Linked DNA regions of Schizosaccharomyces pombe. The protein of the gene in region 2 interacts with the protein of the main gene of each other region in a pairwise test. Each region holds a gene or a part of one and is shown on either strand. Other genes may lie near its edges.

Region 1 (3,570 bases), on a different chromosome or scaffold from region 2:
TGAAATTTTCTTTCAATTCGGTGTTAAGAATAAACGCACAAATTAGTCAAAATAGTTAGAAGATCAAATTTTGCGATCGAAAATATTTATCTGATAATAATTGATATCGTAAAAGTGACTATTATTATTCGTAATCAGATACAACGAATTACAGAGTATCGCAGTAATAAACGAGTTAATTATAAGCAATATGCACACATATTTGGATCGTCCTTTCTATGATTTTTTGGGTAATGAGTGAGCGACAAGATCGTACTTGGTAATTTGATTGATATTTCGTCGAATAGGTTCTACCGCTTTACCAAAAGTAATTAGTTAATAAAGCTAATACTTGGTATCAATTTTTGGGTAAACTTCTATAGGTAAAAAAAAAATGATTTACGTTGATTAAATGTGCCACGTTCCACTTTTAAAAGCCGAAAACGTTTGAAATTGCATATTTATATTATTTTTAATAGCTCAATATTCCATTCATACGCTTGCTTTATGCAACGCCAATCATTGTTTATTGAAAGATACCATCATTTCTTGTAGCTCACAGAAACTTGGCCGAACGGCTGTTTAGAAGTAAATAAATAAGGAATTGAAAATGATCCTAGATGTTTCAACTATTTTTAGCTATTACTGGGTTTGCTTAATAATTTGATTAAACGCCATAAAATATATTAAAAAGGTCTTTCTATTTGTTGTTTATAGCAGTGGTTTGTTCTCAAAACTTACAATGTTTTATGATCTTCGTTCATAAACGAGCATTCTCTCTCCCCAGATTTCGCTAGTAATAAGCTAAATATATCAAGTAATTTTAATATTATGAGTGAATGCATACAAAAAAGAAATGCTTCGAAAATAAAACTCTTTCTAAAAGGAAAATCTAGTGATGTTGAAGAGCTTTTCATAATTATACTGTCAACATAGCAGCATTGTTAATGTTTTGAATGAAAGCCTGATGTCAGAGGGTTTTCTTTTAAAAAAATTTTTATATATATATATATATATATACATGATTATTAATAAAACAAAAAGAATAAGAACATTCTCAATCATCCTGTTCATTATATTTCCTTCTTTTCATTCTCAAATGACAAATAAATAGTTCATTTATCAATAACTCATGGTCTCCACCATATCTAAAAATCACCAGTTAGTGTAAGATTGAAGTAAGCATGTGTCTCGATATTTACTACGTATGCTGCGTTATCTACTTTTTGGCTGGTTACAAGTGATTAGATATTTACAAATTCGCTGCACTATCTACTTGTACAATCCCCCTTGTACCGTTTTTTAGGTAATGCGTCTAATCCTTCCCAGAACTACGAGGCTTCGGATGAGACACCTATGTGATGACTGACTGCATCGGTTCTTCAAACGGCACTGAATAATCCAAAACCTTTCTTGTTACGAGTACATTTGAGTAATGTACCGCAGTTAATTGCCCAGGCAAAAATTGAGCTATATTAATTTTGCTATAATTATACAAAAAGTAAACAGTAAAATTGAAACCTAAAGCATTATATACATATAATAAATCTTATCAGACATGCTAGCTGATATACCTTTTAATATATTTTTAACAACGAAATGATGGGTTTTGAAAAGTATTAAACATCTAGAAAATCAATATAAAGAACATTTACATATGTAATGGCCTTCATAGATAACTGAAATCGTTTTAAACATCATATTCTTTGCTAGACACCGTCTGGTCGGTGTTAGAATATCCCTAACTAACCACCATAGAGGGTAGGGTTAGTGACTTTTTCCTATCAGTAATTTAACGAGATTACCTTAAGGAACGCTTAAATTGTCAAAAGTACATAAATATCAAAAGAACGTATTTCCCCCGTTCACGTTTACACCTTTATCGTTCCCTTCATTTTTTGGTTGTTTCATTTTGTTCTTAAGTTATTATGGATCCCGTTCGTCTTTATTACAGCTACAATGACATTCATAAGATGTGTGCTCAACAGGCAGAAAAAATTTTGGAAACCTTTCGTCCTGATGTGATTATAGCCATTGGAGGTGGTGGATTCATTCCGGCTAGGTAAGTTGAACAAATAAAGAAGATAACAGGAAGAAGCGCTTCCTATAACGGCCTACTGCGTTAAAATTTGAATGGCAGCATCTTTGTGATTTCACAAATGATTGATTTTAACAATGCTTATCCACGATAAGGATTTTAAGGCTTTTATGTATGATCTTTTCAAAAGGACGCATCGTTTACCTGCATTTTCAATTGAGCCCAAGAATCCATCGTGGTGCATTCAAATTCCTTGCTCTTCTTATCTTCATATGGTTAACATTTGCTAATATAACAGAATCCTTCGTACTTTCCTTAAGAAAAAAGGAAGCAAAAATATTCCCATTCAAGCCATTGGTCTCAGCCTGTATGAAGAGCTTGTTTCTGATTCCCCTGAAGAAGTTCCTGGGCTTGAAGTTAAGCGAACTCAATGGCTTGATTTTAGTACTCTTGGAATGGTTGATCTCGTTGGCAAGAACATTCTAATTGTTGACGAGGTAGATGATACTCGTACCACTCTCCATTATGCTCTTCGCGAGCTTCAAAGAGATGTTGCCGAGCAAGCTAAGAAGCTTAACCGTGAAGGAGAGAAGACCACATTTGGTATTTTTGTTGTCCATAATAAGGTTAAACCAAAAAATGCTCAATTGGATAAGGAGATTTTGGATAAATATTACTTTACTGGTTGCAATACTCCCGACTGCTGGATCATGTATCCTTGGGAAGCTCAAGACATTGAGGAGCATGACAGTCATGTTGCAAAAATGGGGGATTTGAAGCCATAGATTGGAGTCTCGTGTTTTGTAAACTATAGTGAGCTTTTCGAATTTACTCTTAATTATTAATTCGCAAACTATCTATTTGATCCACACGCCTTCACCTCTTTCCTAAAGCCCACTTTTTTTTTTGTCGACATGCATATACATATATAGATTTGATAAATTTTGCGAATAACCTTTATAAATACTCTTGGTAACAATAGAAATGAAATAGCTTGACAATTTGATATGGGTAAGAATTTAAGTTGAATAATTGATGGAGTGAAGCATTAGGATAAATGTATGCAAGATTAAAGTTAATGAGACTGGTCATTGTTTAACGAAAACTTCACTGTTCTATCAATCGATGTATATCTTACTAATTAAATTAACATAGACAGTGTAGTCCATATTATGATGGCCGATTAAAATAGTTATATGTAAAGATCAGCAGTATGGAGGCAGGTGTGAAATGCTAACAAAACAGTGCAAATCGAAAAAATGTGGGCTAACGATTATTTGATGATTTAATTATGATTTAGTTTCACGGTCTATGATTGAGCGGCTCCACCTTGGGAAGGATGCATTGAAGAATCAAATATTTGAGTAATTCCAATCCTTCTTTCACGAATAATTTTCTTCTTTTCAGGCGATAAACGTGTTGACTCTTCGTTTTTCTGCAATGCTTCTTCTGTTGTTGACTCGGAATCAAGCGTTTGTCTTAGCTTTTCTTCGTCATATGCAAGAACATCTTCAGCAGTAATTTGTATTGCCGTAGGATTTCTTCGTAACATG
Region 2 (3,569 bases):
GCGCAAGCTTTGGGTTTTTGCATCGCCTGAGAAGTTTTAGATGGTGATTGAAAACTTATGATGTATATACGAGCTTCTCTTATTTAATGGCATTCATTGTGAGGCAATCAATCTTGAAGACTTCCTTACGACTTTGAATTTTTCCTTTCCCTAATTGCTATTCACTACTTTCGTATCTTCTTCAACAACGATACTTTTGAGTTTTTTAAATTTGCATATGAAAGTCATTAATGATTTTTTTTTTGCTTCGGGAGTTTCTATTATTGTGGTCCTTTTTTTTTTTGGAAGGTTTCTAGCTGTAATATAGCCATTTATAAACCCTGTTTGAGATGTCTGTTTGTCAAGCGAGATTTTTTTCATGTCACTCTTTCGTCTTTTCTTTTTAACACCCGATAGGTCGCTGTATAATACAAATTCCCTTTATACATTATTAGATTAGTCTTGTTCTTTTTTGTACATGTGTTTAATATGGCTTAACAAAGTGTAATCTATAATTTCTTCATTTATCAAATTATTGGAATATTGCTAAAGTAGCGAAGTTCGAATTGTACGAGAGTAAAATTTTGAGAGTAGTGCACAGTTTGTATTCACCAAATTTCTATCCTCAACCCACCACCAGTTGGAGGTAAAATTGCGGTAGAAAGGCAACCATGGCTGCCACAACCGGTAATATTATCAAATTTGAAGAAAATGCAGATTCGAAAGATTTGCTGGAGCAATGCTTGAATTGCTCTGATGTTGGTGTTGTATCCAACACTGTTCGCAATATGGATGGTACTATTGCGGCTGATTTAGCTAGAACTTTAATCCCAGCCATGTTGATAAATATGCAGCCATCCCTTGCGATTTGGTTGCATTGGATTATTGTTACACATGGTGGATATTTGACCACCGTCATGGATTTGCAGGATTCACTTGTTCAGTTACATGAAAAGCTTGTACAAAGTGCTCATTTAATGACTAAAATTTTTTCTTTGTCCGGAAAATTAAATATGGTTTTATCTCAGGAAGAGATGAGGCAACGTCGACTTGATTTTTCGAGTGAAGATGGAGAAGAAGAGGAGGAAAACGATTACATCGATGAGGATGTGGATGAAGCAGGCTACGATATAGAGGTAGTTGATGAAGCAGAAAATGATGACATGGACAATGATTTGGAAGCAAATGCCGATGCGTTTGATGAAAGCAATTTGGAAGCTTCTTTGTCGCCAAATGCAGAATTATCACCTAGAAAAAGTCACATTGATCATGACTTTGTCATCCCGGAAGATGAAATGCTTTCTGAAGAAGAGGAACAAGAGGTGGAAAAACAAATTCTACCTAAATTTGTTGTCCCCGAAAGCCCAAGAAAAACTAGTCGCAAATCTCGGTAAAATCGGGAATACCTCTGTAAGAAAAAAATCATTCCTTTTGCATAACTTCTGTTTTCTTTTGATCATAATAAATAGAGTGTCTTGATCAATTTACAAAGCTCTACTTTTTTTCCTTTATATTTTATTGGTTCCTTGGATATTAATATTTGGTGCCATGAGAATGACGCTTTATCGTTTTATGGGTACGTGTTGGAATTCGGAAATTGTTTTTACTTAGTTTTAATCTATACATAAATAATATGGATACACCATACATGTATATAAACAAACCAAGTTTGTAAGTATTTGTAGATTGTGTGACTAACCTGCAGTCGTATCGTATATTTAGCGTGTTCATTCGAAAGTATGCCCATAATTTAATCATGAAGCCATTTGTTGGTTTGCTCAACAAATTTATAGTTCTACATTTCTTTTCATCTTCTCGAATATCAAATGTTAAGACAATTTTTGATATTTTGTAATAGCGCAATATTTTTTTCATTGTATCCAATATCAATTAGTGTAGTGCTGTATATATTAACAAAAAAATTGAAATAATATTAATTTATTAACATAAGTAAAACCTCCATAACTCTTGACAAACTACTCTAAAATTTTCTGCCAACAACCAACTACTTTAAAAATGGGTTTTTCTGATCTCACCTCTGACGCTGGTCTTAAGCAACTTAACGACTTCTTGCTTGACAAGTCTTTCATTGAAGGGTAAGTCATTTTTGTGCGGAAAATGCATCAAAATAATAGTGAAATACCATTTGATCACAAATCGTATTTTTTTTCCTTTGTTAAAAGTTCCCTATGGCATATCTACAAGTGCAAAGACTATTTTTTAAAGCCCTCTCAATTAGACACGATAGCCGTCTTTTAACAAAAAACGTGAAAATGCTTTGTTTGTATCTTTTCACTGAGCTTGATGTTTTTTAATTACCAAATCCTTTCTAACGTTTTATAGATATGAGCCTAGCCAAGCTGATGCTGTAGTCTTTAAGGCTGTTGGCGTTGCTCCTGATACTGCCAAGTACCCCAACGGTGCTCGTTGGTACAAGCAAATTGCCACTTATGACCTTGCCACTCTTCCTGGTACCGCCAAGGAGGTTTCTGCCTATGGTCCTGAGGGTGCTGCTGCCGCTGAAGAAGATGAGATCGATCTCTTTGGCTCTGACGAAGAGGAGGATCCTGAAGCTGAGCGCATTAAGGCCGAGCGTGTTGCCGAATACAACAAGAAGAAGGCTGCTAAACCCAAGGCCGTTCACAAGTCTCTTGTCACCTTGGATGTTAAGCCTTGGGATGATGAAACCCCTATGGACGAATTGGAGAAGGCCGTTCGTAGCATTCAAATGGACGGTCTTGTTTGGGGTCTTTCCAAACTTGTTCCCGTTGGTTTCGGTGTCAACAAGTTCCAAATTAACTTGGTTGTTGAGGACGACAAGGTTTCCTTGGAAGCTCTTCAAGAGGAGCTTGAGGGTTTCGAAGATTACGTCCAATCTACCGATATCGCCGCTATGTCCAAGTTGTAAGTTGTTTTACAACTAAAGCGTTCTTCCGTTTATCAGGGAGGTCCTTAGGAATTACAAAAGGATCTTCTCCTCTATATTCTAATGTTAGAGGGGAATGTGTGGATATGGGAAAGCAAATAATTAAATTTGTTTTTGGTTTATATCTATCGATTGTTTCATAAAGTACGATTTTTTTACCTCAATCGTGTTGTAAGCGTGTAAATCTGTATAATTAAGAAATATGGGGTTCGAACGGTGTATTTTATGCAATTCAAGCAATGGTAATTGACATAGAAATGTATGACAAGTTATTTTTTTTGCATCAATCATGAATACTGAAATTACGTCTCTAAAGCCCAGTCGGGTATTTACGATTGATGACTGTAATGTATGGGCAGTAAGTGAAACAATCTGTTTAATTTGGATGATCCAATACCATTTTTTTATGCTGCGGTTCTTTGCAACAGTCCTGCGTAGATCAACTCATATTTTTACTATTTCGACAATTGTTTTACACTTCTCAAAATTGGGTATTATTTAGAAAATACTCTTTACGATGAAATGTATATGAAGAAAAATAACTTTGAAAATGTATTACTAAAATGAATAAAACAACTAGCAACATATAGAACATAAGTTAATATGATTCAGTTAACAACGTTAAGAATACATTAAACAGTAGATGAGAAAAAGAATTTAAGTA
Region 3 (3,589 bases), 1.1 Mb from region 2:
TTAGACTAGCATCCAAGTTTAGTCTTGTTAGAATCGGTACTAACCTAAAACCAGTGGTCCCAAACATTATGAATATTCTCTCAAATCAAAAACTTGGTGTTCAACCCGTGATGAAGGGACTCTACTAGGAATCTTATCGAGCGAATTCAGTAAATGGTTTTCGCGACCCATTGAGTTCAAAAAGTCCGAAGATTTTTAGAGGTGACCAATATGAAACTTACGATGAGCTTGTCTTAAAAGTTGAACAACAAAATCCCAAATTAAACAAAAAATTACAATTTATTTTATAAAAGTAATTTTACTTACTTCATTAGAAGAGTCTTTGTAAATCTCAGAATCTTAAAAATTTAAAAGTATAGCTCATCACAATGATGATGGTTTGCTCTAAAGGTTTGTGAGCAATCTATTTTGAAATATACTTAAGCTATTAATAAAAGAGATTAGTTACATTTCCATAGCTTCTCTTTTTCTTTCAATCTTCTATCTTAAATCACGCGTTTGTGAAAGAACGCATTTTATTGGAGTTATATAAAATAGTAGCAGGAGCATCAGCGCTAAATCTCTTTACTTCTTGGCCACAGTAACGGTCAAAGGCAACTCCAAGGGAAAATATGTTTCAAGTTTTGCTTGATGAAACATAGTTATATAATATCTAGTTAAATGAGGAAGCTCCTTGCGTGTTTTTTCATCAATAATGGAATTGAAGAATATACGAAGTAAACTTCCAAAAAATAAATCGGCGAGGGTGAAGCGATCCCCTACAAGATATGTACGATCCTTAACAAGTTCGTTGGGAATCTTCAAGCTATCGATTGCTCTGGTGGCAGATTCCTTGAAAGGCTTCTCCTCGTAAGGGATGTTACCACGGAACATACCAACCCAAGGGCGGACATTTTGAGGCGTTACGATGTCAAAGTTAATGAAGCACATCCACTTTAACATCTCAGCTTCTTCAACCTCATTGACAGGACCAAGTCCTTCCTTGTCATTGTGCTTTCCCTTTTCATAGAAATATTTAACAATGGCAATAACTTCAGATAATTCAAAGCCATCAGCACCAATGAAGACAGGGAGCTAGTAATTAATTAGTCAATATTACCCTAAAAAGTTATGCGTAAAATAAGTACGGTGAACGAATATTAGCATGTCACATTTCAAATCAAATGTCGAATTTTAATAATTTGTAAACAGTGTTTTGGCATTTATATGAAGTAAGCCACAATTGGAAACAGACTTGCAAAACGTTATAAAACCCTCCACTTATTAAACCACGGTAAAATCCTACAGATTCCAATACACGACATCCGACTTATATTGCCAAAAATTTTTTTAAATTAAATTTATAATTACATACCTTTTGGAGAGGAAACTTTGCAGCCAAATCTGCAGAGAATTTATGAGGATAAGTCTCAACAAGATCAACTTGGAGATCAAGGAGTTTAGCCAACTCCAAAAGGCAAACAGTTCTCGTATTAGTTTTGAAAGAATATAATGTGCCCAAAAACATGATGATATATTTCGAAAATGAATTGAGGTTGGTTTGTGGAGAGTGAGTCGCTGGCCTGAAAACACATATAGCAACAATATAAATGAGATGAAAGAAGAGAATTCTAGGTTTGTAAAAAATGGACTTTTTACAACAATAAATTAACATCTACAGAAAAATAAATCAATTAGGGGTTCAAATGTAAAAATTACGAGAACGAGCTTTGTACAATGGAAAAAGGCAATTGGTAAGCATAACGACCTATACTTTTTCTCAAGTAAATTAATTCTCTATCTTTCGCATTGATTGAACAAAATAAAGATCATTACTGGTATTGCAAGCAATATACTGCTAGCTTCCATCAATAGCTTAGGTACATTAATGTTTTTTGGGTCATGGGACAGGTGTTTGTAGTGAGTTCAGTTAAGGTCTCAAAAAAAGGAGAAATTAAACGAAATTAAAAGGTTTCCTCCTCTAAGGCTTAAATGAACACTCATCCGCATTGCTCATATAAAAAAGTGAAAGTAAAGAACCATCAGCTGGACAAAATATGAAATGAGTCAAATGAGTGAAATAGATAGTTAATTAATTCCCCGAAAACACATTTAACTATATCAATAAATGAAATTATCGTTGAAGGATCTGCTATCTTTTCTTCAAAGTAGCTATTAAAATTTCAATGGCCCTTCGCTTTGGTCGATCATTGCTAAGGGGATTAGCAGAATAATTATTAATATGCCTGCACAAAAGGTTAGTAAAATTATCTTGTAAACATGCGGGAATATTATACCTCTCTAAAAACTTGATAGCAACCGCTGGTTGCAATCTATTGAAGTCTCTCATAAACTTATCCGTATCCAAATACTCCTCCATATTATCTCCTAGCAGCAGATTTGCGCATTGTCGTAACTCTATAAAACTGTCGGCATTAACAATGCTTTGATCAGGTACTTGAGCTGCAAAACTTTCTAAATACTCAACGTCCAATTTGAAACCCTCGGCGGCAGCAGTCGTAACTTTTCGAATAGATGGATCTGACAACAAATCAACCATAGCAGTGCAAAGATGATCAAGAGTCTCCAAATACACGTACGACTTGTCATGCTTTGGAAGACCTGCAAGCGATTCAAGATACATGGTTTGGAGATATGTAACCATTTCTTGCAAATATCCACTAACATCCTTTCGGACCTGAGTAGTCGTCCAATCGTACTCTGCCAAGCCGAGAAAGTCGTCGATTTTTAAATTTATTTTAACAAAAATTTCGTGAAGTGCAGACTTTCGTGCATTCGCTAAACCTTCAAGTAATTCAGTTGATTTAACATTATTACTAGAAGAGGCTTCCGCACCAATCTGGTGTATAGGCTTATTTAAAACGAGGCTTTTCTCTATTTGTAACAAAGGATCTTCAAATGCGTAAAAGTTTTTAACAAGTTGAGACATTTGAGAAAGTGCAAGTTTTGGATATAAACTCTTCAATCTATCAACAAGGCTTCGAAGAATAAACCTTCTATAGAATCGTGGTGCCTTTTCATTAACTTCGGTAGCCAATATGACAGAATCATTTAAGAACATGAAGAAATGACGGACAAATTTAGAAAGAGTTGTGCAACATAGTGGGCACATCTTTGAAAAGCTCATTGTTCTTGGGAAGGGTTCAGAGGGGAAGTTCCAATAGGGCGCTATATAATGGTCATATTCCTCCTGTGTCTCAACGATCATGGGAGCATACACATCCTTTTCAAACGCCTCTTCAAAGAACACAGAATGCTTCAATATAAGGGCTCCACCAAAAGCATCAATAAGCTCGACACATAAGTTCCGCAAACTTTCAACGGAAAACCCAAATCTCTCCATGGTATGCATAAGCAAAACAATTTGATTTTTCAGTTTTATTATTGTAGTGGTACTTTGCTCTGTAAACGCAACACTTAAAATTGTTTCGACCAACTTTTCACAAATAATAGTCCAAATGTTTTGAACTTCTTCGTAAGAGCGAAAATTGGGTATACACTGTAATATGTAGTACTCAACTATCATAAACCCAGCAATAGAATTTAACCATTCGCTGACAACAGCCATGTCTAGCGTGGTCAGACTTTT

What was found.
Region 1: the proteins of tef5 (region 2) and hpt1 interact in a two-hybrid assay, tested with the Schizosaccharomyces pombe proteins (one large-scale study listed by BioGRID).
Region 3: the proteins of tef5 (region 2) and SPOM_SPCC1183.02 interact in a two-hybrid assay, tested with the Schizosaccharomyces pombe proteins (one large-scale study listed by BioGRID).

Annotation. Positions count from the first base shown.
Region 1 is NC_003424.3:2,154,794-2,158,363, reverse strand, and holds hpt1 (xanthine phosphoribosyltransferase), read left to right. Parts: upstream 1-1,846; 5' UTR 1,847-1,907; coding exon 1,908-2,041; intron 2,042-2,315; coding exon 2,316-2,802; 3' UTR 2,803-2,990; downstream 2,991-3,570. Other genes in the region: hcn1 (anaphase-promoting complex TPR lobe accessory factor subunit Hcn1/Apc12), read right to left, coding at 3,327-3,569. UniProt on the Schizosaccharomyces pombe protein: Converts guanine to guanosine monophosphate, and hypoxanthine to inosine monophosphate. Transfers the 5-phosphoribosyl group from 5-phosphoribosylpyrophosphate onto the purine.
Region 2 is NC_003421.2:1,730,779-1,734,347, forward strand, and holds tef5 (translation elongation factor EF-1 beta subunit, guanyl-nucleotide exchange factor (eEF1B)), read left to right. Parts: upstream 1-1,972; 5' UTR 1,973-1,995; coding exon 1,996-2,075; exon of another isoform or gene 2,076-2,216; intron 2,217-2,322; coding exon 2,323-2,887; 3' UTR 2,888-3,069; downstream 3,070-3,569. Other genes in the region: ribonucleoprotein complex protein Utp502, read left to right, coding at 651-1,373.
Region 3 is NC_003421.2:592,978-596,566, reverse strand, and holds SPOM_SPCC1183.02 (glutathione S-transferase), read right to left. Parts: upstream 1,545-3,589; 5' UTR 1,508-1,544; coding exon 1,355-1,507; exon of another isoform or gene 1,218-1,354; intron 1,117-1,217; exon of another isoform or gene 1,075-1,116; coding exon 565-1,074; 3' UTR 513-564; downstream 1-512. Other genes in the region: fxn1 (frataxin), read left to right, coding at 55-199; exocyst complex subunit Sec15, read right to left, coding at 2,132-2,225, 2,277-3,589. UniProt on the Schizosaccharomyces pombe protein: Involved in the oxidative stress response and detoxification.